Linked DNA regions of Oryctolagus cuniculus. The protein of the gene in region 7 interacts with the protein of the main gene of each other region in a biochemical or structural test. Links are inferred from orthologs where the notes say so. Each region holds a gene or a part of one and is shown on either strand. Other genes may lie near its edges.

What was found.
Region 1: the proteins of UBE2M (region 7) and DCUN1D3 form a complex in vitro, tested with the Homo sapiens proteins (4 studies listed by BioGRID and IntAct). The link is inferred for Oryctolagus cuniculus from reciprocal best matches to the Homo sapiens genes UBE2M and DCUN1D3.
Region 2: the proteins of UBE2M (region 7) and CUL3 form a complex in vitro, tested with the Homo sapiens proteins (2 studies listed by BioGRID, with this or other methods). The link is inferred for Oryctolagus cuniculus from reciprocal best matches to the Homo sapiens genes UBE2M and CUL3.
Region 3: the proteins of UBE2M (region 7) and CAND1 form a complex in vitro, tested with the Homo sapiens proteins (2 studies listed by BioGRID). The link is inferred for Oryctolagus cuniculus from reciprocal best matches to the Homo sapiens genes UBE2M and CAND1.
Region 4: of the proteins of UBE2M (region 7) and CUL1, one has a biochemical effect on the other in vitro, tested with the Homo sapiens proteins (7 studies listed by BioGRID). The link is inferred for Oryctolagus cuniculus from reciprocal best matches to the Homo sapiens genes UBE2M and CUL1.
Region 5: the proteins of UBE2M (region 7) and DCUN1D5 form a complex in vitro, tested with the Homo sapiens proteins (3 studies listed by BioGRID). The link is inferred for Oryctolagus cuniculus from reciprocal best matches to the Homo sapiens genes UBE2M and DCUN1D5.
Region 6: the proteins of UBE2M (region 7) and DCUN1D4 form a complex in vitro, tested with the Homo sapiens proteins (3 studies listed by BioGRID). The link is inferred for Oryctolagus cuniculus from reciprocal best matches to the Homo sapiens genes UBE2M and DCUN1D4.

The regions. Positions count from the first base shown.
Region 1 is NC_091450.1:18,308,819-18,313,072, reverse strand, and holds the start of DCUN1D3 (DCN1-like protein 3), read right to left. Parts: upstream 2,801-4,254; coding exon 2,370-2,800; exon of another isoform or gene 1,962-2,369; coding exon of another isoform or gene 1,952-1,961; exon of another isoform or gene 1,184-1,951; coding exon 700-1,183; 3' UTR 1-699. UniProt on the Homo sapiens protein: Contributes to the neddylation of all cullins by transferring NEDD8 from N-terminally acetylated NEDD8-conjugating E2s enzyme to different cullin C-terminal domain-RBX complexes and may play a role in the cell cycle progression by regulating the SCF ubiquitin E3 ligase complex, after UV damage.
Region 2 is NC_091434.1:14,622,870-14,626,837, reverse strand, and holds the start of CUL3 (cullin-3), read right to left. Parts: upstream 2,801-3,968; 5' UTR 2,351-2,800; coding exon 2,285-2,350; intron 1-2,284. UniProt on the Homo sapiens protein: Core component of multiple cullin-RING-based BCR (BTB-CUL3-RBX1) E3 ubiquitin-protein ligase complexes which mediate the ubiquitination and subsequent proteasomal degradation of target proteins.
Region 3 is NC_091442.1:69,618,407-69,622,470, reverse strand, and holds the start of CAND1 (cullin-associated NEDD8-dissociated protein 1), read right to left. Parts: upstream 2,801-4,064; 5' UTR 2,469-2,800; coding exon 2,401-2,468; intron 1-2,400. UniProt on the Homo sapiens protein: Key assembly factor of SCF (SKP1-CUL1-F-box protein) E3 ubiquitin ligase complexes that promotes the exchange of the substrate-recognition F-box subunit in SCF complexes, thereby playing a key role in the cellular repertoire of SCF complexes.
Region 4 is NC_091434.1:174,882,088-174,886,224, reverse strand, and holds the start of CUL1 (cullin-1), read left to right. Parts: upstream 1-1,337; 5' UTR 1,338-1,454; intron 1,455-1,655; exon of another isoform or gene 1,656-1,792; intron 1,793-1,855; exon of another isoform or gene 1,856-2,074; intron 2,075-4,137. UniProt on the Homo sapiens protein: Core component of multiple cullin-RING-based SCF (SKP1-CUL1-F-box protein) E3 ubiquitin-protein ligase complexes, which mediate the ubiquitination of proteins involved in cell cycle progression, signal transduction and transcription.
Region 5 is NC_091432.1:94,775,729-94,779,819, reverse strand, and holds the start of DCUN1D5 (DCN1-like protein 5), read left to right. Parts: upstream 1-1,291; 5' UTR 1,292-1,624; coding exon 1,625-1,710; intron 1,711-2,569; exon of another isoform or gene 2,570-2,655; intron 2,656-3,779; coding exon 3,780-3,871; intron 3,872-4,091. UniProt on the Homo sapiens protein: Contributes to the neddylation of all cullins by transferring NEDD8 from N-terminally acetylated NEDD8-conjugating E2s enzyme to different cullin C-terminal domain-RBX complexes which is necessary for the activation of cullin-RING E3 ubiquitin ligases (CRLs).
Region 6 is NC_091433.1:42,217,899-42,222,173, forward strand, and holds the start of DCUN1D4 (DCN1-like protein 4), read left to right. Parts: upstream 1-1,475; 5' UTR 1,476-1,487; coding exon 1,488-1,659; intron 1,660-2,220; exon of another isoform or gene 2,221-2,287; intron 2,288-4,275. UniProt on the Homo sapiens protein: Contributes to the neddylation of all cullins by transferring NEDD8 from N-terminally acetylated NEDD8-conjugating E2s enzyme to different cullin C-terminal domain-RBX complexes which are necessary for the activation of cullin-RING E3 ubiquitin ligases (CRLs).
Region 7 is NC_091449.1:87,815-91,861, forward strand, and holds UBE2M (NEDD8-conjugating enzyme Ubc12), read left to right. Parts: upstream 1-1,247; 5' UTR 1,248-1,760; coding exon 1,761-1,869; intron 1,870-2,592; coding exon 2,593-2,687; intron 2,688-2,803; coding exon 2,804-2,842; intron 2,843-2,943; coding exon 2,944-3,047; intron 3,048-3,295; coding exon 3,296-3,359; intron 3,360-3,444; coding exon 3,445-3,585; 3' UTR 3,586-3,960; downstream 3,961-4,047.

The DNA.
Region 1 (4,254 bases), on a different chromosome or scaffold from region 7:
ATGCAGTAGGTCAAAGAAGGAATGAGCAAGAAGTGAGGGAAATAAGGGTTTTGGATAAATTAGCTTAAAAGGGAAGTTATCACCAGACTACACAAACGCTCTTGACTGGCCTCAGCTCCCCAAGAGCTCTAAACTTGTCTGGAAATTAATGCAATGTGGTTAACAGTTAACACTGCTACTCAAAATCTGTGTAAATCTTTAAAAATAATTATTACAACCTAAATTCAACCATGTAAACAGCACTACACACAGTACAGACCTGCCCTGAAAAACAGTATGCAAAACTGAGATCTGGCACTGTATCATTTTGTAATGTTAATTCAACCGAACAGTCCCATTCCCCCCACCCGGCTCTATACTGGCCCCCACCAAAAAAAAAAAAAAAAATCATCCAATTTGTGCAAGAAATGGCAGACTTATTCTATCTGAAGGCTTCAAAAAAAGATACACAACATGTAGCCAGGTTCAAATATTTTGGGGGATTACCCCCCCCAAAAAAAAGAAATAACCAAAATAACCAAAAAATGAAGAAAGTGCCTAAAACATGATACAGCATTTTAGAGCCCTTTCAGATACAAGGCAGAGAAAGGTGTAAAGTAGAAAATATCCGGATCTTCAGTAATTTCCAGAAAGGTCCAATTCCTTGGTTGGCTGCAGGACAGCAGGCAGCTCTTTGCTGCTGCTCCTGGGACAGAGCCACTAAGTCTGCTCCTCGGGACACAAGCCCTCGGGCCCTGAGCTGAGTGCACCTCTCCCTTCCCCTTCTCTTTTCCTTCGCTCCATTTCCCACTCCACAAAGGTATCAAAGAGACTTGGCCAGGCCTCATCTTCACTGTAGTTGCTGAGGTCGGGGCCAATCACCTGAGTGAAGTTAAGGAACATGTTCCAAGTGTCCCGGGAGATGCCCTTGATCCCCGAGGGGTTCTCTGTTAGGAAGTTTAGCCACTGGTCCAATACTGGAGGGTTGTTTTGAGTGAAGACTAGTTTCCACAGGGCAATGGCTATTTCCCGATGCAGTGACCGCTGCCCTTCTTCAGAGTCCAGGCCAAACTGAAATGTAAACCGGTAGAGATCCTTGAATTTATCCTCCTGTTTGGCTTCTGTTAAGAGGCTAGGGAACCGCGCACAGATCCCGTCAATGCTGTCTGCACTTATTGCCTTGCAGCCATCGAAAAACTCCTTCCTGCAACAGAAAGAAGGCACAAATTAGTTATAACCGATATTATTTACCGAGGGCAACAGAGTATAGTAATCAAGAGTATGGCATTGAGGCAGGATGGCCTGGATCAAATGCCAGCTCCTGCACTAAGTAGTCCTCCTTCCTCATCTGCCAAGTGGTGAGTAAATGTTACACCTCACCTTGCAGGGTTCTGGTGAGGGGTAAACACGTTAGCACGAGTACCGAGTGTTTCCAACACTGCCAAGCACACGGCAGGCAGCTAGTCCCCTGCCTCCTGCTGGGTCTGCTGCCCTGCACTGGTGATGAGGTTGCAGCCTCTTTCTCCTCGATGGAGAAGCCTTCCTGCCTCCCTTTCGATTCTCTCTGGGTTGTTTTGGTATCTTTCTGGTGACAGCCAAGAGACACTTCTGGAGCCCGAGAGGCAGGATAAAATTTAAGTCTGCCACCAGAGATAAAAACTGTGCTATTAAATAACAAAACTTGCGTACACATATTTAACATCTTTGTAACACTTCCAGCTGACAGCACGGTTTCCTCTCTGGGACTGCTGTACCCACCAAGATTAGGGAGTCCAGGTCTGGAGGGTAAGCTACCTGGGGGCATATAGACTAGAAATGGCTTGGCCAGGTCTCATAACCTGCGCTCAGCAAACCACCCCTTGGGGTGACCCTGTCACGTCTTCACCCACAAGCAACTTCTACAGGGATATAAGACCACAACGACATGAAACTGCTGCTTGATAACTGGGCCACCTGTCCTTGTTTCATACAGGTCTGGCTGAGGGCAATACGGTAAGGATGAGAAGGGACAACTGGGCTCACGGAGTGGCAGAGGCACATCCCTGGAGGTTCTCACTGTACTGGCACACACAGCACCTGCCACAGGACGGACAGTGAATTCTCAAGTACCTCAAGATTCCTATTGAGTGGGTCTGCTACAGAGTCAGGCACTTACTTTTTTAAACCCTCAGAGGAGTCTTGGGAGGGAGGTGGCAGGGGGAGGCCTTCTCTGGATCAGGAACACAACTTAGCTCAAAACATCTGCTTTTGAGAAACTGGTCAGAGCACAAGGATTTTCCCTTCCCCAAACCCCATGCAGCTGACCCAGTTATCCTAGCTGAGCACTCCTGCACAACATTGCTCCGTTTCCTCCTCTGCTCACCTGGTAACATGAAGTATTTGTAACTAACCTGGTGAATTTGCACATGGTAGCAGCCTGGAACTTCCAAGCCAAGAGCAGCACTCGAAATTCCGTGGGGTCGACACATAGGTCATTGCAAAAGCGTTCCATGCCTTCTTCCAAAATTGCATCCTCCCGCTCGTCCTTGTAGCGCCTGAACAGTTCTTCCAACCTCTGCAAGGAAGACTCTTCAGCATTGGACTTGGACTCCCTCCCAGCATCTCCCGAGGACGTTGGCAACTGGCAGACCTCAGTGGCAGCCTCCGCCTTCTTGGTCCCATTGACGAGGATATCCCCACCTGGCTTGCCACAAGGTGGCACCTGTTCCTCACGGTGGCCTGCACTTCGCCTGCTGTGTGATTTGCTGCTGGAGTCCCGGTCTCCATTCTTGCTGCCCAAGGTTGATGAGGGATTCTTGCACTTGGTGACACACTGGCCCATGGTGCTGGCGGCCTGGCCTCTAAAGTGGCCCCCTCTGGAATGGATGCCCTCGCTGCCGCTGGCCCATGTACTTCAACATGCCATCAGCCAGAGGAACCAGCCAACCTGGGAGGAAATTGGAAAGCAGTCACCTCTTGAACACAGAACACAGGGCATGGGCGGGGGCACCACCCTCTGGGGACTGCTTCCTGGGGATCACTGCGTTTCAATGAGCCAACAAGGAATGAAGGGAGATCACCTCCCTGATAAGCCAGCTCTGTAACTTGCCTTGGAAAAGCAGTGGCTATGGCACATATGGAAAACCAATATGGGAAATTCCTAAAATTCTTAAGGTAACAGGTTACAAAGAAGCTGATTCATGTGCAGAACACATCAAAGACCACAGTTCTGCCAAATATTCCAGAGGAAATCTGTCTTGCCAATTCATCATCATGCAAAAAATTTATGTGGACCTGGATTAAGCCAGAGGGTACAAATATAAGGTTTATTTTCTAGTTTTTAACACCGTCACACTCAGATTTTCTTTTTCCATACATGGGATTAATAGAGGGAGGGAGTGGCCATACCCAAAACAACTATAGGGTCTCACAATAGCTTAACAATGAGGTAAGGGATTTGCAGTGTCAGGCCTGCGAACAAGGGCAGAACCAAACATCAAAGTAAAGTTCATCCCTGATCTCTCCAGATCCCTTTCTGGGCCTATCCCACATAGCAGGTGTAAGGCCCTTTCTTTGCTCAGCTACGGAAGCCATTCACCATCCCTGTACTCCAAGCAAAGTCTCCTAACCTAGGAGCTTTTTTTTTTTTTATTCCCTCCCTTTTATGTCTTTAGTGAGGCTGTACAGAATGCATGCCAAGTTCTCATTAAACATGACAGTCCTAGCAGGCTTCTAATGGGGTATGTGTCTCTGCTCTAAAGGACTGATTTGTCTAAATACGATCTTCTAAAAATGGTAGGATATGGGGGCAGGAATTGTGATGCAAAAGGATAAGCCACTGCTTGGGATGCTCACATGCCGTCCTGGAGTCCTAGCTACTCAGTTTCTGACCCAGCCTCCTGCTCCTGCATCTTGGGAGGCAGCAGATGATGGCCCCAGTGCTTGGGGCCCTGCCACCCCCATCGGAAAGGGACCTAAAGGGAATGTAATTTCTCTGAGACTACCCTGTCTATCCAGGGCTCCTTTTTTTCTTACGTGTTTATTTTTATCTACTTAAATGGCAACAGAGACAGAGACACAGAGATCTTTCTTGTGCTGGTTCACTCCCCAAATGCCCACAACAACTATGCTGGGCCAGGCCAAAGCCAGGAACCTAGAAGTCCATCCAGGTCTCTCCATGGGTGGAAAGAGCCCAAGCACTTAAGCCTCCCAGGCACTTAGGCTGCCTCCCAGGATGCATTAGGAGGAAGCTGGATCAGAAGCAGAGATCCTAGGACTCAGAACTGGCACTCTGCC
Region 2 (3,968 bases), on a different chromosome or scaffold from region 7:
TGGGGTTCCTGGCTTCTGCCTAGCCTAGCATGACCCAGTCCTGGTAGCTTGGAAAGTGAACCACCAGCAGATGGTGATTCTCTGAATGAACCACCAACAGATGAAAGATCAATCTCTCTCTCTCTCTCTTTCTCTCCCTGTAACTCTGCCTTTCAAATACATAAAATAAATCTTAGATGACAAAAAAAAAGATGTCCATATCCTCTATTTACAGTGCTCAGGTTCAATGCCTGGCTCTAGTTCCTGACTTCTGCTTCCCACCAACTTGCACCCTGAGAAGAAATGGCAATGGCTGAAGTAACTGGGTTCCAGTCACCTGGGTAAAAGATCTTGCTTATGTTCCCAGGTCCTAGTTTCAGCACCAGTCAATTCCCAGCATTGGCAGGCATTTGGGCAGCAAACCAGGAATGGGAACTCTCTTTCTCTCAAAGTACTCAAAACACAAGAATATAAATGAAAATATGCTATAAATTCGCTTCACTCTATTTTTATGATGAAAACAAAATAAGAACAAAACAGATAAATATCTGCATTTTACAGATCAATTTTATAATACATAATCTGAAATGAGCACTAGAGACTTTTGCTTAAGCTATAATTTACCTTACAGTAACTTTATGCCCAAATGGTATATAAAAACTACAATATTTATTAAGTTTGCACATACATGTAACCATAAATATTTTCTTGTTTTGGAATACAATGCATTCATTCTAAATTCTAAATTCTGCTAAAAATGGTTAAATTGATTTAGTAAGAAAATTAACATTACTCCAACTCACAAGCCTAGCTCTTTGCCTGGTAATAAGAAAACATGCTAGTGAACTTCATTAGTGCACTTTAGTCAACATTTCTTTCTCACTTTCTGATAGTTTCTCACACCTACTTTTAAAAAAACTCAAACATTTGAAACCTTTAATTAGTACCAAAACATTTAATTCTGAGTATACCACACCTATTTATTCACATAAAGTAGGAAGTTGCTGCATATTGACAATGGTATTTCTGGGCCTGAATTCTACAATCAGGTGAATTTTCTTAAACTTTAAGAATTCAGAGGGATCCCCAAGTACTCTGGGACTAATATTCTTAATTAAGACAATCGTATTAAGGTAGTTAAGTCTTTCCTGACGGCAAACTGCACTTCAAAATAAAATGATTAAAAAAATAAACATGCAAATGACCCCTTTCCCCTCACACGATGTTCATGAATCTGAGAAGGGAAAATTAAGATCTTTCGCCAGTTTTACTTTTCACAATCTTCCATCAATTGCTGTCTACCTTGACGTCTGCCTGTTACTGTAGCGACATGAGCAAGTATGTCAAGTTTTTCTGTTACAACAGTACAACTTAATTGCTTGCTATTGGCTATCTGAATCAGATATGACATCTAAAGTCATACCCTATCTACATACTCAACCCGCAAGCGTGGATCTCAACGTAACGTCAAAAAAGGAAAGTTTCTGAACAAACACTGTTTGCTGTCACTAAAATCGATAGAGTAGAACGCCTCGGTGGGTGACTATAATCATCCTTCTGGGCTTCCACAGCTCAGAAATGGAAAATCAACGTCCAGTTTGTTCTCGCTGGCTCGCTTCCTTTGGACCCCTAGGAGAGGCGAGGCAATTCCTGGCTGCATGCGAGTTAGTGAAGTGCTTAGGAAGCTCGCGGGATGAAAGATGCTATCATCACACTCGAGGTGATTAGTGAATGAGCACTGGGCATTTCGCGGAACCGCTGTCACTGCACCAGGACGGCCTGTGGCAGAACCCTTCCTGGGAGAAAGGAGGGAGACGAGGCAGCCCTCTTCGCACCCCAACAGCTAGCCAAACCAGCTCATTTTTAAGCCGCAGAGAGACCACACGTGAAAAGTTACACACACACGCCCCACACAAGGAAGACTTCCAGCCTCCATCCGCGTAGGGCTGGAGTCCCGGGACCCTGCAGCGGAGCGGAGCGCCGAGGGTCGGGCCTACACCCCAGGAACGTGGGGAGCCGCCGGGGCGCCGCCGGGGCCCCCGCGCAAGCCGACGCCCGCGGGGCGGCTGGGGGCGCAGCTCTCGGGCGGGGGCGCGGCGCCGGCCCGGGGCGCCGAGCGCGGGGAACGGCCCGGGAGGGCGGCCGCGGCGCCCCGTGGCCGGGCAGGCTCGAGCCCCGCGGCCGGCGGGCGTGGGGGAGGGGAGGCCGGGCCTGCGGCCTGTTGGGGGAGTTCAGCCCGGGCCTCGCGTGCGGCTCTCGGCCGGGCCCCCGGCCCCGGGGTCCCGGACGCCGCCAAGAGACTCACCGGAAAGGCCCGGATCCGCATCTTGGTGTCCTTCCGGCTGCCCGTGCCTTTGCTCAGATTCGACATGGTGCTCGTCCCCTCCCCGGCGGCGGCTTCAGGTCGCTCTCCGAGGCGCCGGTGTCACATTTAAGGCGGGCGGGCAGGCGGGGGGCGACGCTGGGGGCGGCGGCGGCGCGGCCCCCGGGCTGGGCTGGGCAGCTGGCCGGCCCCTGGGCGGCCGCGGCGGCGGCGGCGCGGGCTCCGGCGACGCGGGCTCGGCTGAGGGGCTGCGCTGGCGCGGCGGCTCCGCGGGATGCCCCTCACGCCCGGGTCGGCTGCCTTTATCGCGCTCCTCCGCGATGGCGGCGGCGGCGGCGACGGACAAACATCTCACTGCGCAGGCCGAACGTCCTCCTCCTCCTCCTTCTCCTCCTCCGCCTCAGCGAGACGAGATCCGGCCCAGAGGGTGGAGGGGGGAGGAGGGAGGGAGGAGAGCCGGAGAGTGGAGAGGTTGGGGGGAGGGGGGTGGGAGGACGGGAGGGGGAGGCGGGCGGCCGCAGGGACGCTCGGATCTCGCGAGAGCGCAGCGAGCGCGCTGCCCTCGGTGGGGCGGGGCGAAGCCCGGGAGCGGGAGGGCGCGCCGAGAGGGGAGGAGGGGGAAAGGGAGTTGGGAGAGTGGGCGGGGCCAGCGGGGCGGGGAGGTGGGGAAGAGGGCGGGGCGGAGGGCGGGAAGAGTAAGCTGCCCTTTTGAAAGAGGAGCGCCGGAGACCGGATTCCGGGAGGAGGTGGTTGCTGATTGGTGGAGGGTGAGGCGGGGGAGGGGGTTCTTAGTCACGTGGGCGCAGTGGGCGGGGGAAGTTCCGAGGGCCGGAGCTGCGCTCTGGTGGGGTGGGCGGTCCCGCCTGGGCCGGGTGGTGTGGGCAGGAGGTTAGTGCCTGGGAGGAGCGTGGGGTGCGAGATGGGTCACTACGACTGAGAACTGGTTCCCGTGTTTTTCTAGGGCATGTAGACTAGGGATGGGTACTTGAGCGCGAGCCAGAACTTGAGCGTCTGTGCAGGTGTTACCTGCCGCGAGTCCCGCGGCTTGCCCGGGGGTTCAGGCAGAGCGTGCGCGCTGCGGCGCTCTGGACCGAGGGTGGCCAAGTTAGCCCTCCTTAAACTGCACAAGCCCCGGGCCTCTTTATTCACCGACAGTCTGGGGACTGGGGGCCCCGGGGGGAGGGGGGTCCAGTGCTTATTGATGTCAAAACCTGCCTTTTTCCTTACCGCTGTCATGACCTGACAACTTCCTTAATAGGGCGCAGTAGTTTGGTAAATGGTGTTAAATGCAATGTTAGCGATCTGCTCTAACCTGCCAAGTGGATCATTGTAGCTTTCCCTGAACGTGGTCGGTTTTCAAGGCCAAGCTTACCGTTTCTAACAGCTTGCTGTGTATTTGGAAGGATTTTTTTTTTTTTTGGTTTTTGGCTTTTGTTTTCTGCTTTTTGTCGTTGTGTAATCAAAACCTCCGGTTTGAGTCACCTGCTTTGCTTTTTGATCTATTAAGAATTGGACTTCCTGGCATCCCTACTTGCCCAGTTGCTGTTATAGTTGAGTTTCCAACTGCAAGAGAATATCTGTGTTCCTACCAAGGCTTGTGCTCTTCCAGTTCTGTGCATTTGGAAGCTGCGACTTGTATCCAATTTTGTAGCAAACTTAAGTAAAC
Region 3 (4,064 bases), on a different chromosome or scaffold from region 7:
TCTGTGCTATTTATACCAAAATAAAGAAATTTCTAACAAGAAGTTAAAAAAGAACAACTGTATCAAGATAAACACCCATACTGAAATTAGGCAGAAAAATCTTCAAAACTGTTTACTTTAAATGCTCACTACTTCAATTAATCTTTAAATCTGTAACTTAATACAAAAAATTCCTCAGCTTCCAAAGATTTGCCTGTGAACTGAAGCACATTACAAAACAGTTTTTACAACATAGTTCATTAAAAACACCTCGGGGATGTCAAATTGCTGGAAGTTGCTTACTATTCCTCAACAAAGCTTCTACAACATTCACCAACTATTATATATTAATATTACACTACCTAGTCAAGCTATGTTCTGGTTCATTCCAACCCAAATCAGTAGAAAATTCTTAGTAAATTCAGCAATAACTACAGAGTAGCATCACACATTGTTACTTCCTTCACATAGTTTAAAACAAAATAAAACCAAACCCCAGGGACATACACCCTACACAAAGGTTTTCAAAAAGTTCATAGAAAATGCATATTATGAAAAAACTATGCATGGATTAAAAAAAAGTTTTTTGCAGCAGAATAAACTTGTCTTTTAATTCCATTTTCCACAACTCTTAAAAGTACCTTGATACTATGTTTCCTTTGCAAGAAATTGAAAAGAGCTGGCTTCAGTCAACAGACATCTATCTGTACAGTATCACCACATGACATGACTTCTAAGTATTTCTAAATATATTACCCACATAGGATTCTGTAAAGTTAAAACTGCACAACAGGGAAAGTGCTACCTTTAGACTGAAATGAAAAACAATAAGAATAGATCAGTTCTTCTACAGAATAAGACAAACTGACAGAAGCAGGAAGAGACACAGCACAGATTTTCCATGGCTGAAAGTTACATCCAAGTCTCACTCAAGCATTTCCATTTCAGTAACTGGAATTGGGAGCAAGCAAAGTTCCAAAGGAAATCAAACAGCATCCTCATTCTTAAAACATAAAACTTTTATTTTCCACCCAATAATCTTGATTTTGCCCTTCCAACTACACACATCTCAAATTCCAAACTACCCAAAACAAGCACCTCACTTCCAAAAAGTAACAACGCCAAAATCTTTCAGGTTAACAAACTGGTTTTAAGTTTCAGACACAACACTTACACTCCCTAGGTAGCAAAACTTTTCCAAAAGCATGTGGTTTTGAAGCCACAGAACCAAAACTGCACTTCAGTGACCATTTTAATATGACAAACACCATCAATCTAAGTAGGATCACAATTATTGCTTTTTCCATGGCTCTCCTTTCCCAAGTTAGAACATTTCTTGCCGGCTGAGTTTGGACCCATTTTCCTGTTAAAACGTCCTGTTCAGACAACACGTACAAACTGGCTATAACTTAGTTGAAGATTACTTGCTCGTTCTTTTTAAATGCACATAAATGACACGTGTAAAACTGAAGGTGCAGAAATAAAAAAGCATGTTTGTGAGAGACAGAGCATATGTATTTATTTGTAAAGGAATGCAACAATCAATGCAGTGTGCGAGGAGGGGAAAAAAAAAAGGCCCACAGATAATCAACTTGTGAAAACACAGCATGTCTTCAACATGCATGTGACAAGAATCTGGAAGCAACAGCACAAGCCTCCTGAAACAGACTGCTGTATAAAGCTTCGCATTCCCCAGCCCCGTGTCAGAGAACTCCTTCCAGGAAGGTCCGGCTCGTTCGGACTCTGGATGTAGGCATATGAGGCTGAAACCCCGAGACCCTGCGTGGGTTTCACCTGACGACGGAAACTGACAAGAGATGCTGGCGGGAAAACCCTCCTGGCCAAGTCTCTGCCTTCAGGCTCCCCTCCCCCACTTCTCCGCTCCGACACCGAAAAGAATGCAAAGAAAAAAAGTACAGAACTCAGTCAGCGAAGGGCTCGACCAAAGCGAATCGCTGCGCCGACCCCAGCCTGCGGGAGCCAGGGAGGCGGCCGCGGGGGCCCCCGTGAGCGGGGCGGCCTAAAGCCTCGGCAAGGCCGGCGCGCGGGCCCGGCCGCAGAGCAACTCCCCTTCCACACAATGGTGGGTGCTCTCGCCCCTCGGCGCTACCTGGGAGCCGAGGATGGCGTCCGTAGGGTCAGGGCCTGCGGCGGGGGCGCTTAGAGGCCAGGAAGGAAGGGGCCTAGGGATGGCTGTGGCAACGGCCTCGAGGCAAGAAGGGGGGAGGGGGCTGGAAGCGGGGCGAGGAAAAGGTGGGGGGGGTCCCGGGATCAGGGAGCCAGCCGAGCGGCGGGCTGGCGGCCGCGGTGAAGCGAGGAAGCCGGCGAAGGCCCAAGGGGTGGGGCAGGGCCTTGCGTGAGGGCCAGGGCCGCGGACGGGGGGCCCCCCGAGGTGGGGTGAGGGTCAGATTGCGGCCTCACCTAAAGTCCTTGTCGCTGGATGTCATTTTTTCCAGCAAGTTGGAAATGTGGTACGAGGCGCTCGCCATGTTGACGGCCCCGATCCCGCCCGCCGGCGCCGCTGGTGCTGCTGCCCGCTGCCGCCGCCGCCGCCGCCGCCGCCGCTCGGGCTCCTCCTCCCGCTCGCGGCGGCTCCCGCTTCCAGGGTCGCAGCGCGACGCCGACGCTGACTAGGGAGGCGCCTCGGCAGGCTGCCTCCGCGGCGAGGGTGGGCCCGTCCCGGGGGAAGCAGAGGCTGCGGGGCTGGGCTAACGACCGCGCTGCTGGCGGGAGAGCGGACTCATGGGCGGCACGGCGCACAGCAGGGCTTCTCCCGGGACCCAGACACTTCCACTCGGGCCGTCTAGCTCCCACTCCCTCCGCACTCGATCGCTAGGGCAGGAGGCCAAAACCCGCCTCCTTCGCTCCGGGGGCGGGGCGACAGGCGGAGGACGCTACGGAAAGCCGAAGTCAGAGTTCACGGAGGCCTCCCCGCGCACGCTTGAGACGCTTGTTAAAGGGCAATTCTGTTGGCTAAGGCCGATGTCAGTCTTCTCGTGGACCGCCTCCCAGGAGGCATGACAACGACTGAAGGGGGCTATTCTCGCGAGATTTCAGGGTGACGGTTAAAGGACGAGGGACGGAAGCTACAAACGGGCCTTAATCTGAAAATACTTGATTTTCTTATCTGTATGACATTAAGATAAAAAGTTCACTAATTTAAAGGCGTGTAGTGCCTGGAGATTATGGTGATTAAGGGGACAGCCTGGAGACCATAAAGAATTCTAAGAGGGAGTTTTCGTTTTGAATCGGACGCGTGGCCTGTTGCCTTTAACCACCAGACTGAAGCTGCCACGTGAAAACCACAAGTCCCAGAATTCAACGTGCGCTACGCTGAGTCGGGATGTGATTGGCTGCAGGAACTTGTAGCGTTCTCATTGGCTCCTGTGGGAGGAGTGAATGCTGGGATTTGCAGGCTGGCGCGGGAGGCGTGCTGGGGACGACCTTTCAATCACCGCTCCGTTTCCGCCTCGGGTTCGTACTGTGAACACACGCTCTTCGTTGGCGACGTTTGCCGAGCTAGGCGGCTGCGGTTCGGACAGGCGCATTGCGGTCCGGTTGGTGTCCCTGGCAGAGACCCAGTGGCGGCCTCTTGCACGAATCCTTGCCTCTGTAGAGGCATTTGGGCCTCCCGACTTCGCTGGTTAACGCACTCCTTCCGGGAGTGCAGAGCGCGCTCTCTAATGGCGGCCCAATTTTAGTAAAAGACCAGTGGGCCTGCGCGTTCTGTCCGAAATAGCTAAAGGACCATCTTCTGTACGTCAGCTTTCGTGACTTGATCTTTCAGCTGAGTATTTCGTCGCTGCCTCAGACGTACAAGCACAACCATCGGAGATGAGCTATCCGAGCCATTGTATACCATCCAAGTGTTTCATCTGCCTCATATTAGGAGTTTTCCAGATAATATTTGCCAGCTAGGGGTCCACACGTAAAAATCTGAGTTTGAGGTGGTGGGTGATTTAGCTGGCAGGCCTTTTAAAAAAGAGGAAAAATTAACCTTGGTCAGAGATTTTGTTTAAAGACAACAACAGACCTTTAGAAAGGGCATCCTACTTCCAAAACATCAAATCCGGTTTGGCATTTCT
Region 4 (4,137 bases), on a different chromosome or scaffold from region 7:
TAAGTGATGGCTCAAGGACTTGAGTCCCTACCACCAACATGAGCGAGCCAGATTTAATCCCCGACTCCTGGCTTCTGCCTGGCCCAGTCCAGCTATTGCTGGCATTTGCAGAGTAAACCAGTACATGAATAATTAATCGATCGCTCTCTGTCTCCCCATCTCTGTCACTCTGGCTTTCCAATAAATAAAACTTTTTTTTTTGAAACCCACAAAACAGAAGGTTTTCTGGTAAACAATAAAGGGAAAGTTGACCCATTTAGCCATTACCTTCATCTGTGGGAAGTCACAGACAAGGAAACCCCATTGAAAGAGATGGAGAAGACAGGTTAAGGAATTCGGAGATAAGTTGTCTGTGGAACACACAAGTCCCAGTAAGAGGAACCAAGGATATTACAGGAAAGCCATATAAAAAGTGGCTACATACACCTAACGATTCGTTTGACTAGGTTACTTAGAAGTGTACAGACCAAGAATTTTTCAACCCCTGCACAAATTAAGGATTCCATACTTTGGTGACAAGTTTATTTACAAACTAAGGATGCTTAACAGAGACTGACAAAAGACCCCCATTTCAGAGAGGGATTTTTCTTCTAAGAGAACCCGGTGTTCCTAGGGGAACCGTGTGGACTCTGGGGGTGGCCTTCTGCTCTGGCTGACCACTTCTGCCCCAAAGTGCTTCTACAATCTCTGCAATGTTTTGGTTTGGCGAAAACAGGAAACTGCCTCCATCCTAACTTCTGCCCAGACGACAGGCTAATTGGAAACCCTTCCTTACTCATTCAGTGGAATTAGGCATCTCGCAATCTCACTAGGTGTGAGGTAAGTCAATGCTTTCTGTTACTGGTGCTGCCAAATTTTGCTTAATATTCCAAACACCCAATCCTAAGATTATTCCTAAGGAGTGAGATTAACTACTACTGACGACACGTGAAAACAGTATTTTATAGTCACATCTCATGCCAAGCATGTCATCAAAACCTTCAATTCTGTTCTTGATGTGTGCTTACAAAGACTAAGGAAAAGCGAATCTTCGTCAAAATTTGCCCAAAGCGCGTCGGTTAAAGGGTTTGAGGAGGGGAGCCTGGTTGGGTGTATTTTAGAAAAAGACTTTTTAAGAAAGACATGCAGCCAGCCTGGCTCAGGCTTTCGGGCGCTCTTTCCGAAGGCGGGCAGGTGCACCGCGGGGAGAGCGAGGCGCGCACGTGTCGCGGGAGTCCGCGCGGATTTTCGGGACCACCTGCCCCCGCTGACTTTAAACGCCAGTCGGGGACACCGCTGCTGGTTGCGCTCCCGGTCCCCGGAGGCACGTGGCTGGGGGTAGTCGGGTTCCATGTCAGCTCTGGGGGAGTGTGTGCGCACGGGGAGGGGCAGGGGCGCGGGGAGCCCCTCTCCTCCCGCTGCTTCGCGCAGCGTCTCCAGAGGCCGGAGCCCCCCGCCGCCCCTCCAGCCCCCAGGTCAGCCCCGCTCGCGAGGTCCCGAGTGGCGGGAAGCCGGGTCTCCCTCGGAGGCGGCCCCCAGGCGAGGCGGGCTGTGAAACCTGGTGGAGGATCCGGTGCGCCCGGTGGGGGGCGGCTCGGGCGTTTGGGGGGGCCAGGGGCCACGAGACTGCAGGTAGAAACAACCCAAGCGAGCGGGGGGGACCCCGGCGGGCGGGAGGCGGCCGGGCCCCTCCCGCGCCTCAGGCTGGTGGGGCGATGGCGGCGACGGTTTCCCGGCTCCCCCGCCCCGGACGCCGATGGCGGTGCGTTCCGGCCCTCCCCCAACAGCGTCTCCCCCGCGGTCGCCGGAGCCGGTGAGGCCGGGAGGGCGGGGAGCCGCGCAGGGAAGGCGAGAGGGCGGAGGTTGCGTGGTGCAGGCGGCGGCGGCGGCGGCGGGAGGAGGAGGAGGGCCGGGCGGGCGGGCAGGCAGGGGAGGAGGAGGAGGAGGCGGGCGCCGTGTCGCACGCAGCTCCAGGCGGGGCAGCCCCGGTGGCTGAGGGACGCGGCCAGACCTTGGCGGGACGGGGGGGGTTTCACCGGGACCCAGCGACCCGGCGGAGACGTCGCGGGAGCCTTTCGGGCGTTTGGAAATGCGGGTGAGTGTCGGCGGCCCAACGGAGGCGGCGGCGCAGGCCCGGCCTCGAGCCGCGGTGTCGCAGTGACTGGGGCCGCGGCGGCCGAGCGCAGGCGGCGGGCGAGGCCTGAGCCGCCGACCCGCGGCCGGGCGGAATGGCGGCCGGGCCGGGGGCCCTCGCGGGGCGGAGGACGCCGGGGGCGGGCGAGGGGCGAGCGGGGCCCGCCCTGAGTCACCCCGGCTGGCTCGGGCCTGCCTGGCCGGGCCGGGCCGCGGCTCCGGGGCGGCCAGGCCCGGACTACGCACCGGGAAAAAGCCCGATTCATCGCGCCCGGAGGCGGCGGCCTGCGTGGCGCCGGGCTCGCCTCCCGGAGGCTGGGCCGGCGTCCGCGCCGCGCCTCGCCTCGCCTCGTGCGGCGACCCTCGCGGGACGGCCGCGCTTCGGCCCTCTCTCCCTCCCCCGCCTTCCGGCTCGCGCTTCTCCCTCGGGCGTCGCTGGCATGCTCTCCGGCGCGCCTCCGGAGCGGCCGAGCCGGTCTCCCTGGCTCTCGGGTGCCCCGCTCGCTTTGTTGCGGCCGTGCAGGGCGCTATTATTGGGTAATAGTCTCCCCTTTGCTCCGTTCTCTCGGGGGAGCGGGCCGGCGCAGACGGCGCAGGGATGCCCGGGCGGCGGCGGAACCGGACGGAGCCCCTCGGCGCCCGCCGAGCGCTCTCGACTCGGCCCCAGGCCCTGCGCCCTGGCCTCGGCGCGCCCCCGGCCCCGGCACGAGCGCGCGCCCCGAGCCGGGAGGGAGCCCCGGCCGCGGGGATTTGGGGTCCGCCAGGCACGCGGGTCGTGCGCTTCGGTGCCCAAGGCCCAGGTTAGCCCGAAAACTCCGGCTTTCCAATCACCTGTGTGGCGCTGTGCAGTGTAGACGTATGATTGAGAAAGAGAAATGCTTGGCGTTCCTTAAGATGAAGCCCCAAACTTGAGGGTGTCCCTTCTTGAGCTGGCTGTGCCAAAGACGATTCTCTTTGCTGATTGGGTCACTGTTGCTGCCTGCAGTTCGTAATAGGGGTTAGAGTAAGTGCGCAAATACTGAATTGCATTCAAGTTACTCAAGTATGTATTTACTCTGTGTAATTGTTCTTTGCTGCAGTAGCATTAAAATAGTCCAAAGTTATGAGTGGAGTAAAGGGTCACAGTGTTTTTGTAAATGCACTTAACAGATTGGAGAAGAGGAACTAAATTCATTCTTACTTTAAGCCAGGAGCTTCTAGCATGAGTTCCTGCCTTGCAGAAGTGTGTGCAGTTTAAAGTTTCGCAGTTAATTTTGGAGTGTCCCTCAAAATGGACCCGGCTTTCTGAAGTCCTGGAGCATTTATGTCACGTAGGATAATCTATGATGATCTGTTGAAAAAGTCGAACTAAGCATTTATTTTTATAAAAAGTTTGGGAATGAGGTTTTTCTTTGTATTAGAAAGATTTTTGCTTCAAAGTCCTGTGTGTTGCTTTCCATAGTAAGTTGAAATAGTTGCATCGCATTTCAAATTCCAAAGCACGCAAACACAAGACTTGCTTTAACTCTATTATGCCCATTTTTGGAGGTTTCAGGAGAGTGCTCATTAAGCTTGAAAGATGGCTGAATTGTCTGCTTTTAAAAAGAAAAAGTTAAGCTTTGTTTCCCTTGGTACCGTTTAAAATTTTTTTTTTCCAGAAAACAAACCAACTTGAGATACGCTAGGTTTTTCATCAGTGTATACAATCCACTCTGCCTGAGAGCTTTGTGCTCAGGTCCCTGTAGGCACGTCCTGTCCCCCAAGCCTGCCCCAGGCTATGTGGCATCAGAGGATCTCGGGACACACGCCTGAGCCCGACTGCTGGGTGTCCTTAGGGATCAGGGCTCGAGTACTCCTCTCCACTGATGGGGTATTCCTTTCTAACTCTAACTTAGTCTTGATCAGCAAAACAGCCTTATTTCCCTTACATTGCACGTGAACTCATTGAAGGCGGGGATGCTCCTTATTTATTTTTGAATCCTCATAGTAACTCAGAACTTGGTTGTGCTGGTACCTCAGTTACTGTTTTGAATGAATGAGTGACTT
Region 5 (4,091 bases), on a different chromosome or scaffold from region 7:
ATTAAAACCATGTTAAGTATGGGCTGGCATTGTAACACAGTGGGTTACACTAACTCTTGTGGTGATGTCATCCCATGTCAGAGGGCTAGTTTAACTCCTACCTATTTTCCAATCCAGCTAATGGTGGCAGGGCAGTGGAAGATGGCTCAGGTGCTTGGGCTTGGAGTTCTTGCCTCCCAGCTTTAGCCTGGTCTAGACCTGGCTTTTGTGGCCATTTGAGGAGTGAACCAGTAGATGAAAGTTATCTATCTTCCTCTCTCTGTTATTCTGCCTTTCAAATAAATAAATCTTTAAAAAAAAAAAAACCACATAGCTAGTATTTCTATACTGCTCATAGGTACAGAGGCTATCAATATGGCCCTTTTGTGAGATAAATTCAGATAAGTGTACGAGTCAATGACTTTTGACAAGTACATACACCAGCACCCCAACTAATGCACAGTGTATCTATCATCCAGAAAGTTCCTTTGTACATCTTTGCCGTCTTCCCTATTTCTACCCTATCCCAAGCCCCATGTGTTACAGATATGCTGTTCCTTCAGATAAGTTTTACATGGTAAAAAATTTTGTCACATATCAAATTAGTATTACAATGTCCAGTTGTCTCAAAATGCTATATGAATTGTTGGCTTGAATCAATATTCAATAAAAATCATATTAAAAATCATCGCTATATCCTTTAAATCCTTATCCTCTCTTCCTATTAATTTGCTGCAGAATCCGGGTCACACGTCTCGAAGACTTCCTGACAGTTTAGATTTTGCTGTTTGCTGTCCGGTAAATTCCTTGCTACTCAGTCAGCAATCATCTACTATCTCTCTTCCGAGAGGTGAGTTCTGTATAAGTAAAAATTGTGCAGTTAAACTTCACTGCGGGACACAGTGGCTAGCAGAGGTTGAGAAGTGGGGGACGGGGGGGGAAGGAGCTAGAGGCCAATCACAGGTCCCTGAAGAAAATATGCTAGACACTGACAATGCGTTTAAATGCGGGAACACTAACGATAAGATTACCGTTTGGAAGAGCTCAGGAGTGAAACCTGGTCTAGTTCTTCAGAATATTTTTAACGCCAGTTGCAGAATATTCGTTTCATAAAACATTCTCGGTGGTGACTACTAACACCAAGGTGGGGGTGGAAGAGAAAGGCCAGGATACTAAGTTTTGTTTGCAGTAATTCCGGCACAAAGCAGGACTTCTACCTTTTCCTCGGTTAGACAGCAGGAACCCACCGCCCCTGCGGCTAACCTGGGTCAACTAGAGCCACACCCCTTCCGGCAACCCGCGCGCACGCGTCACTTCCGAATATAAGGGATTCGCATCCGGGTCAGGCTGAGCCGCTTGCTCCCTGTGACTGGCGGAGGTGCCGCGCTGTACGCGTTATTTCCTCTCGGCGAGACCGACCCGCAGTGGCCACCGGCGAGGAGCCACCCCTGTCCCAGCGAAGAAAAAAGAGCAGGAGACCTGGGAACGCACGGCCGCCGTGCGGGGCCGAGCCGGGCCAGCCTGACGACTCTGCCCCTCCGCTTGCTGCTGTATTTGGGAACGAAGTGCCAGCGCTGAGGGGCCTCCAGCAGACATTGACCCCCTTCCCCGGCTCCCCTGCCCACCCTGCCAGGGAGGGCGGAAGATGCCGGTGAAGAAGAAGAGAAAATCCTCTGGGGTGGCAGCGGCAATAGCAGAAGACGGAGGCCTCAAAAAGTGTAAAATCTCCAGGTACCACTTCCACCCTTTCCTTCAAGCTTTCCTTCTTCCTCCTTTGCTGGGCAGCTGGAAGAAAGGGAGTCGGGCCCGGCCTCCCGGTCTCGGGCTGGAGAGGGGTGAGGCCCCCTTTTCCAGCCAGGCGGTAGGTGCAGAACACCGGGAGTCCGCGCCGGAACCGACCTCGTGCTCGCTCGTGTGTGTGCCCCGGCGTTCACGGAGAGCCCGGGGCAGTCTCCAGCATTAGGGGGTGCCTGCCCTGGAGGTGGGGGAAACAGATGCATCTGTAAGCTCCGCTCGTTCCCCTGCCCCGCACTCCCTTCATCCCACCCTCAGCTTTTTAATAGACGTGGAAGTAAAGGGTCGCTTTCAGAATTTCTTTGTAGCTTGGAAGAAAAGAGCGTGAGGAATTCTTGGCTTGACAACTGCTTTGGGGACGGTAGGAAGGAACTCTTAGGCTAAAATTGGCCTCCAGATGTAGTATTCGAAGCCCTAACGGAGACCATCTGAGCTGCAGGCCTTTCATATGGTAGGGACCTCATTTTCTGGAAACGTAATGCCTCCGTCTATTCCAAGTCCTCGTGTGCAGGCTTGGAAACACCCAGAATGCTTTTTGTTCTCTAACATTCAGCACAGTGTTAGTTCTTGGTATCAGTATTAGTAATTTGGGAGCTGTTGTACACCATGCTCGGTGAACTGGAGTTACAGCTCTTTGCATGATAGCATATCCTTGGGGCCTCACAGCAACACCGCATGCTGCAAAAAGAAGCATTGCAATTTAGAAATGAGAGGTGGACTGGACGTTGTTGGTTTTTATTTCCTTTGGGAGTCTTTGTATCAATGGTTGACACCTGATGTAACAATGTCAGATGCCACCATTCAAAGAAGACAGTAGCCAGCATTACAAGGAGGAAATAACAGAGCTTCTCTTACAGAGAGATCTGCTGCTTAAAGTGTGAGGTAGGTAACTTAATCCAGTCTTCACCTTCCTTTTCGCCATTGATTGACTTTTTCCTTCATTATTACTGTGTTTTGGCAAAGGAGACCAAGGAGTATTTCTGAGGCCGTTTAATGTGACACAATTTTCTTACACCTCTTGGTCTAGAGAATTTTTATATGAATTTTATATGAAGGCTCCACGAGCTCATATTTTTGTGAAACAAATTAGTTTTTTAGTTACTCTTAATTTGTGACCATCTTGAGTGTATAAAGTGTCAAAATTATTTAAACCAAACATTAGATTAGCTGAGCTGGCAATGTTACTAGAACTCAGGATATACTTTGTCTCTCGATTTTTTTTTATTATGCATACTTCTTTGACATATTACTCAATTTCATTTCTGTATCATTGTGATAGTGTAATTATTTGAATTTCAAGGTACTCTAAAGTGCATGAAATCCTACAGGCCACTTTGGAATTAATCAACTTTTAATGATTTCATCAAAAAGTGTTGAAAATGATTTTGTCTGAGATTAAGTAGCTTTGGCTGAATTATTGAGACTTACATTAACTTTTAGAGTTTTTGTTTTGTTTTGTATTTTTTCTCAGTCTATGGAATTTAGTATACCTGTAGGTCCTATGTCATTTTTATCTTTAAATGTTTATTTTAGCTTAGTAGATGATAAATGAACAATTCTTAATGTATCTTTTTATTTTGAAATATTGGTCAAGTATCTAAATATACTTTGTAAGATTTTGTTTTCAAATGTATACCTGTTATATACAAATATGATTTCCATATGAATCAGTAGCAGAAACAGAATATAGATTTTACACTTTCCCAACTAACAATCCTGCCTCGAGACTTAGGTTGAACTTCTTTGTGTAGTCTTTTGCAATTTTGGGAGATAATTTCAGTTGATATTTTAGAATTTTATAGTGAGCAAAGCAGCATTTGGGGTTGTTATCCATAAATTTTTACATTTAGACTACTGAATTGGAAGTACTTCAGTTTTTTTTCCCTATAATGTCAACGTCTAAAAATATTTTGTTTACTTTGAATTGCGGTAGTTCTTATTGAACTTAGTTTTTCACTAAGAATTGAGACTTAATAAAAATCTTAGGCATTTGTGTGTTTTCTAAGCTATTGCAGATCCCAACCCCCTGCTAGACTAATAAGTGGAGAGGAACATTTTTCAAGCAAGAAGTGCCTGGCTTGGTTTTATGAGTATGCAGGTAATGAAATTAATGTAAGAAGATACCAGTCATATGCTTTAAAAATTTTTTTTGGTTCATTCATTTAACAAATTGTTTATTACAGGCCTGCTATGTCTTAGTGCTGTGCTGGGATCAGAGCAAGGCTGAGGATTGTGGGTAGGCTAGGAATTTGGTGTCGGTTCAGACTGATATTTCTTTAAATATATATTCTGTATTTATTTAGTGGGAGGATGAATGT
Region 6 (4,275 bases), on a different chromosome or scaffold from region 7:
AGGGTGATCCTTCGCTCACGTCGCAAAATGTTACTCCGCTATCGTCGTGTGGTGGTGGGACAATTTGGTCACCAAACACCGAACACCCAGGGCGAAATTTGGAAGCCTGGTGTGAATTCTTGGCGTGGGAAACCCCAGGCGCGGAATTCACCTCGGCTAACAGCCTGCCTCTGTTTCGTTTCGTGGTCGCCCTCTGCGCGTCCCGCCTTGGGTGCCCTCCGGTGACGCTGCTCTGGGGTGGGCTGGCGACTCGCCGACGCGCCCGAGCGACCCCAGCCCTGGATTTCCGGCATGCTGCCCGGGGCACGCGGACGCGTGTGGCAGACAATGCTGTAGCATTCGAAGCCTTCGTGACAGCCCAGCTGGCACTCGCAGGGGGAAGGAGTGGTGTAGACTCTGGGAAAGAAGCGCTTTTCCAAAGTGTGGAGAGGGCTGAGACAGCGTTTTGTTCCCACCGGAGGGTCTGCTCGGAATGAAGACCCGACAATGCTTGATCCGGTTCTCTGTGGTAGGAAAAAGCCGGCAAGAGAAGTCCCGGTCCAAGTTCGGGCTCCTGCAGAGTCCCTCTGGAGTGCGGGACGGGGGACGGGAAGGCCGGACGCGTCGTGCCAGGCGCCAGGAGTGGGCTGTCCTCCCTACTCCCTGCAACTCGAGACAAACTGCCCCAACTGCGCTTCCCCTTCTCAGTTCAGGGAACACTTTGCATGCTTTGTTTCAGACGCCGACCCATCTTTCTCAGTTGGTCTCCCGCTCCACCAATCCCGCCCGTCACGGGGCGGGGCTTCAGGGTCAAGGTGGACCAATTTCCCCAGCCTCGCCCCTACACGCGCTTTCGGACCCCCGGGGATGACTGACGGCAACCGGGTCCAACCTGCTACTCCCGAGCGTGGCCTCCGCTAGGGGCGTTACGGAGACCAGACACCGGGGCCAATCGCTTTGGAGTCCAGGGGGCGGGGCCTCTTTGCCAGTTCCAGACCGGCGCTATCGGCACTCCTTCTGTCAAATCAGAGACGCGAAGAGGCGGTCCCTTGGTCTAGGCTCAGCCAATGGAGGAGGCGAGGTGGGCGGGCCCGGAGTGCTTGGCGGCGGGTCCTTAGCTCCCAGCCGAGGTGCGGTGAGCCGGTGGGGGGACCGCGAGGCGAGCGCGGGAGCCCGGGAGGCGAACGGGGTGTGAGCTGCCCGAAAATGCACTCGGATGCCGCAGCTGTCAGTGAGTTTGGGAGAGCCAGCGGGCTGGCGCTGCCAGCACTTTCCACTCGGGTCCCGCCAGTCCCCGCCCCGTGCCTCCCGTCCCGAAACGCGCCGGCAGCCCCTGCCCGGGAGCCACCCCTTCCCCTCGGGGGCCGGGGCGGGCGGTGACGCTGCGGGCGGCGCGGGGCGGAGGCGGGCGTGGGGGGAAGGGGCCGGCCTGCCGGGGGAGGGCGGAGGTGAGGGGGGTGGGGACTGGCTCCGTTTCAGTGTTGGGGGAAGGGGGGGCGGGACGTGCGATGAAGGGCCCGGACCGGAGTGTCCTGGGTGAATGGAGGTGGAGGCGGCTGCGGGCGCTAGCGGGCAGGGCCGGGGCGGGAGAGGGGGGGAGGGCGCGAGCGAGCGAGCGGAGCGCAGGGGTGAGGATTTCCAAGGGGCTGAGCGGTGCGGGCGGCTCCGTGTGGAAGGCGGGTGAGTGCGAGGGGAGCGCGGGGGCGGGGACAATGGGAAGCAGGGCTGGATGGCGGGGGTGGGGGAACAATGGGGCGGGGGAGTGGGGGCCACCCGAGCGGGGCGGGAGGGCGGGCAGGGGGCGAGGGCTGAGGTAACGGGAGAGCGAGGTAGTTGCGAGGGCTTGGGGTGCGATAGAAGAGTTGGGGAGTCCGGCGGGCGGGAGGGGCCCTGGGAGGGTGGCAGGGTACCGGAGTGATGGGAGGGGACGATGTGGTGGTGATCGGCCGGTGCCGGTGTCGGGACGGTGGGGGTCCCGGGGATGGTTTGGGGTGGCAGGATGGGGGCAGGGGTCCGGCGAGGAGGCGGGGGTGAAGAGCTAGTTGGGGAGGAAGGGGAGGCGGGGAGGGGCTGGAGCCGGGGCTGGACTGTCACGTCCAGATTCGGTCCGGCTCTGGGCTGGGGGGTTGCGGGACTGTGTGTTTGGGGGAGGTGCTGCCTCTCCGGGTCGAGGCAGGGTCCCTGGAAGGGGGGGAGCCCAGACCTTCGGCGTGCGGCGAGAGGAGGGGGCGGGGCTGAGGTGGAGGGGCCGGGGGAGGTGTCCCGAGGTTTGCTCTGGCGGCGGTTCCCGCGAGCGGCGGGAAGCGAGGTCAGCGCTGGCGCGGGCTCCGGCTGCGGGATTGGGAGGCGGGGCAGAGGCGCGGGCTGCGGGTTTTCCGTGGCGGGAGCCGGAGAGGTCGGGCCCCGGAGTCTGGGTGGGGGTTTTGCGCAGGGGAGGTGTCGGGGTCCCTGGCGATCCGTGGGTTTGGCAGTCTGTGACGCAGTTGTCTAATTTCTGGCTGTCAGGTGTGGAGGCTGATGGCTCACGACCCGCTCGCCTGCAGGGAGAGCTTGCCCGGAGGCCTCGCGCAGCGCCCGACGGGCGCGACCTCTCCCTGGCATGCGGGAAGGGCGCTTTAGGGGTTTCCTTAGGGTCTGGTTCCAGTAGCCGGGTGTGAAGGGGAAAGGCAGTCCGCGGAATTCTGGGACTTGTAGTCCCGGCCGCGCCGGGCCGCGGTTGGGTTGGGTGCACGTGGGTAACTGTGGAAACGAGTCCCACAATGCAGCGCGCCCCCGGCGCCTCCCTGCTCTGCCAACTCGTGCTTTATTCCCCAGCTGACCCGAGCTCGCTCTCTGAGTCGCCCCGGTCCTCTGGGACTGGAGCGGTTCCCTGGACCTTCTCCTTCTATCTGCGGGAGAAGCAGAGCCTGAGCAAAGCCCAGGTGCTTCACACTGGAGTTGTTTTTTTTAGTCTCCCGGTTAACTATTTCCCCGTGTTGCGTGGCCTTACTTATACGATAAATTCTAAGTCTTGGACCATCTAGCGCACATACTGTGGAAGACATTCTTTGGCAGCACAATCTGAAGCAACGTTTAGGGTGGTGTATTTGTTGTGGCACGTAGGTTAAAAGGCTGTCTTACATAATATGGGAACACAGCAAAGATGACTATAACCCTCATGAAGATAATATCAATGAAGGGTTGATATTTGTTGAAATGTTTGGTTTGCTCAAAGATAAGAGAATTTTTTTGAAAAAAAAAAAAAGATCTTGAAATGAATTGAGCAATGGAGGTGTCTTTTTGGAACATCAGGTGGAAATTATCCCATTCATAAAGCCAGGATGAAAATGTGAAGGTGAACAAAGAGAATATGTGATGTCTTCAGTTTTCAAGAAGCTTGGAAAGCAAATGAGACCAGAGGACGACAAGCTGTATAAAAGTTGGAGAGCCTTAATTTTTTTGTGTGTATTTGTTTTGTTTTAAGATACAACTATAGGCCGGCGCCGCGGCTCACTAGGCTAATCCTCCGCCTTGCGGCGCCGGCACACCGGGTTCGAGTCCCGGTCGGGGCGCCGGATTCTGTCCCGGTTGCCCCTCTTCCAGGCCAGCTCTCTGCTGTGGCCAGGGAGTGCAGTGGAGGATGGCCCAGGTGCTTGGGCCCTGCACCCCATGGGAGACCAGGAGAAGCACCTGGCTCCTGCCATCAGATCAGCGCGGTGCGGCGGCCATTGGAGGGTGAACCAGCCGCAAAAGGAAGACCTTACTCTCTGTCTCTCTCTCTCACTGTCTACTCTGCCTGTCAAAAAAAAAAAAAAAAAGATACAACTATAATTCTCTCTTTAATGTTAGAGACCTTCTTCTCAGTCTGTAGACTCTCCCTTTACCATTTTTAAAAAAGATTTATTTATCTGAAAGGCAGAGTTAAAGAGGGAGGAAGGTAGAGAGGACTGGAGATCCATATCCAGATCTTTTGTCAGCTGCTTCACTCTTCAAATGGCTGCAATGGGCAGGAAAGCCAAGAATCTGGAACTCCATCTGGGTCTCCTGCATGGGTGCAGGGGCCCAAGCACTTGGGCCATCCTCCACTGCTTTCCCAGATGCATTAGCAGGAAGCTGGATCAGAAGTGGAAAGACCTGGACAGGAACTGGTGTCCATATGGGGTGCTGGCCTCCCAGGTGGTGGGTTAACCCACCTGGCCACATCACAGGGCCCTTCCTTTACCATTTTTATGTGGTAATTCAATGATCTATAATGTAGAGCAGCAGGAGATTAGCTTAGAATTGAAATATAATTTTTATGTGCTGTGTAAGGTGTTA
Region 7 (4,047 bases):
GGGTGGTAAGTTATGCTGGCACCAATATCAAGCTGTTTGAGGCTTCCTAGCAGACTCCCAGCCCCGATCTTTCCAGCTGTCAGCCCTCAAGAGTAACGGAAAGAAGGGATGCTGGGGTCTAAGGCTGAGATAACTACAAGGCTGGGGGGTGGGGGTGTCTATGGGAGACAGGTCCGAGATGGACCATCGAACACAAGGGCCAAAAGGAAGACCAGCAGTGGAGACACGGTTGTGATCAGTTCCTGGGGCCAAAAGTTCCAAGGGTACCTAGAGAGGCCCAGGACCAGGCTGGACAGGGGTCAAGGCGGGTGCAGGAAGGCGCTGGCAGGGAGGGGATGGGGCCCACTCTCCCGCTATGAGGAGAGAGGGTGGACGACAGGCTGAATCCAAAGAGGCGCTGAGGAGCAGAGGGCGTCGGGGTGACTTTGCATTTGTCAAAAGGCGGGGAAGGGCTAGGGTCACACCTGCCCAACGCCACCATGGCCTCCACCTGAGCACGATGCGACGTGGGCGTTCGTGGGCAACGACAGCGCGCGCACGGTGGCCGATGGGCAGTGCCCCGGGAGCCTCGGCCAGTCCACCGCACGCCCGTTCCTGTGGTGACCGAAGCCACCGATCCGCCCAGCGCCTCCCCTCCCGCCTTCCGAAGCACGCGGGGCTGTGGCTGGAGGGGAGGCTCACGCCGCCCGCACGGCGGAGGAGCGAGGCAAGGCTGCCGTGCTACGTCCCGTCCCCAACGTCCAACCCGGACTTCAGACCTCCAAGGTGCTTACCACTCTGTGGCACAAAAATGTTTTACTGTTAGTTTACCTCAGTCTCCGAGAGCGGAGATCTCTGGGTTTGCAACCGGACAGTGAGGGTCCTCGATCCCGCACCCTCTGAGCAAAACCCCTGGCTCCGCCTAGCCTCCGGCCCGCCGTGACCGCTGGGGACAATGACCTTGTCGGACTCACCCCCGCCGCGCTCAGCACGAGTGCAACATCGGATGCACACACCGTGGGGGAGGCGGCCCCCCATCTGACCCACTCAAAGATGGCGGCCAACACTTCTTCCTTCCCGGTCCAGCGAGGGTCCCCGGAAGTGACCGCAGAACCACCGAATCGTCCTCCCGAGACGGAAACACCCGAGGCCCGCCGAAAGAGCACGAACCCCAAACCCCATCGCTGAGCAACGCGTCTGCGGCGGCTGCGCAAGCGCAGAGCGCAGGCCAGGCTGCAAAGCCGAAGCCGGCGGGCGACGGAAACAGCCGAAGCGGCGGGGCGCCCGAGGCCGTTGCCGACCTCCGCGCCGAAGTCGCTGCTGCCGCGGAGGCCGATCCTCCGGTCCTTCGCCGCCGCCCCCGTGGCTGCCGCCTCCTCCTTCCACCCCGCGCCACAGCCCCTGGCGAAGTAAACGGACGAGCGGCGGGGCCCCCAGCCCTCGCGTCCGCAGACGCAGCTGGGCCTCAGGAGACCGGAGCCGGCCAGGGGGAGGAGGGAGCAGCCGGGGGAGGAGGGGCGGGGCCGAGAGCAGCCGAGTCCGCCCGAACGTCGCCGAGCGAAACCGAGGCCCGGGGCCAGGCCGGAGCCGGACTACGGGAGCCGACGCGGGCCGCGCGGTGGGCGCGGAGCGGCGCGGCAGGCCGGGCGGGCGGCAGCAGCTGCAGAGGAGGCCGCGGCAGCGGGTCAAAGGAGCGGAAGCGGCGCGGGAGGCGGCGGGGGCCGGGTGGCCGGGGTCCCGGGCCCCGCGGCGGCGGCGGCAGAGGCGGCGGCGGCGGCAGGATGATCAAGCTGTTCTCGCTGAAGCAGCAGAAGAAGGAGGAGGAGTCGGCGGGCGGCACCAAGGGCAGCAGCAAGAAGGCGTCGGCGGCGCAGCTGCGGATTCAGAAGGGTAGGGGGTCTGGAAGTGAGGGTGGGGGCTCGGAGTCGGAAGTCAGAGCGCAGGGTGGGGTGATACGGGGTCAAGAGCGGGGTCATGAAGTCGCCGAAGATCAGAAATGGGGGCCGCAGTTGCGTGGGGGGGTGGTCAGAGGTCAGGGCTTGAGGGTCGGGTGGCCGGGTAATGCCGCCACTGGGCGCGAATCAGATGAGGGGCCGGGGAGAGCGTGTGAGCGAGGGAGCGACTGGGGCATTCGGGAGGCCTGGGGTCTGGTATTAGGGACCCAGCACCCGGGGGTCAGGTGGCGGAGGGGAGGACTGGGGCTGGAGAATCCGAGGGTTCAGATAGGAATCTGAGTTTGGAATGACAGGCAGAGGGGAGGGGTGGGAGTGGAGGGACTTGGGGTCGGTGTGAGGAAACGACTTAGCGTGTCAGGGGCCGGGGTCCTTGAGTTTGAGCAGACAAGTAGGTACCAGACAGTGGAGGTCGTGGTTGAGGAGTTGGGGTCTGGGAGCATCGGACACGCAGGGTGAGGGGTGTTAGCCTGGGAGCTGGGTTGGGTGGACGCGGGGCCAGGAAGCGGGGAAGCAGCCACAACTGGAGATGTGTGTCGGGAAGAGCCCCCCTGGGGAGAGCAGGAAGCTGGAACTCAGGCCGGGAGGAGGCCGACACCTGCTCCGAGTGCCCATCTCTCTCCTCTCTCCCTCTGTCCCTGTCTCCGCTGTTCAAACCCAGACATAAACGAGCTGAACTTGCCCAAGACGTGTGACATCAGCTTCTCAGACCCAGACGACCTCCTCAATTTCAAGCTGGTCATCTGTCCTGATGAGGTGAGAGCACACGTGGCCAGACTCACAGGAGCAGGGCGAGGATGGCCCCACTGACAGGCAGGAGACCCGCTCTGCTCGCGGGACCTGACTCCTTCCTTCCTTCTCTCCCTTCCCAGGGCTTCTACAAGAGCGGGAAGTTTGTATTCAGTTTTAAGGTGAGTCCCAGGTGGGCAGAGGTGGCTCCGTGGACTGGAGGGGCAGGCACTGAGGCCCTGCCAGGCACCTACCCCCCTCCCCTCTCTTTTCTCGGAGCTAGGTGGGCCAGGGTTACCCACATGACCCCCCCAAGGTGAAGTGTGAGACGATGGTCTATCACCCCAACATTGACCTCGAGGGCAACGTCTGCCTCAACATCCTCAGGTGAGGGCACTGACCCTCTGCTGCCCCCTCCCCGCCCGGCCCCTCTCGGCTTTGTGGTCACTACATCTGTCCCATCCCTTTCATTCCCAAGTCACAGTCCCAATAGCCTGACCGTGGCTTCCTCCCTGGCTTGTCCTGGTCTCACATGCTCACTCACCCATGCCCCGGTCCTGACCTGTGCAGTACCACTGGGGCCTGTGACAGCCTCCCACTCACCAGCTCCTGACCCTGATGCTCTCTGCCCACAGAGAGGACTGGAAGCCAGTCCTTACGATAAACTCCATAATTTATGGCCTGCAGTATCTTTTCTTGGTGAGTAGGGTGGACATTTGGGGCTGGTGGGGAGAATGGCCTTCCACCTCTCTGGCCCGTTGACCCCCACCTGTACTGGCCACAGGAGCCCAACCCTGAGGACCCACTGAACAAGGAGGCCGCCGAGGTCCTGCAGAACAACCGGCGGCTGTTTGAGCAGAATGTGCAGCGCTCCATGCGAGGTGGCTACATCGGCTCCACCTACTTCGAGCGCTGCCTGAAATAGAGTCGGTGTATACCTGCCCCCGCCAGGGCCACCAGTCCTGGCGTCCCCTGCAGATATTTATTGGGGGGCCACAGGTTGGGGGGGCAGCCAGTGGGGGAATCCCCTACCTTGGCCATGCGTCCCCTCCCTGCCACCTGCCCTTAGTTATTTTTTTTTAACCACCACGTGATTATGGTCGGCGCTGCCTCCCCCGACCCACTCAGCGATGGGAAATGAATTGGCTTGTCTAGCCCCCTCCTCCACGCTGGGTGCTATCCAGCCCCCCACTCTGGGCTGCGAGGTGGGTGGGCAAGGGGCCCGGGTCGCTGGGTCCAGGCAACCCACCCCTCCACCACCAGAGGTCCCACCAGGCTATTAAAGGGGAATGTTACTGCATGGCCTCTGCCTCTTCCTTCAATGGGACGCGAGGGGTAGGGGGGAAGTGGAAGGTGTGTGGTCACGGGGGGCACTGGGGGTACCGCA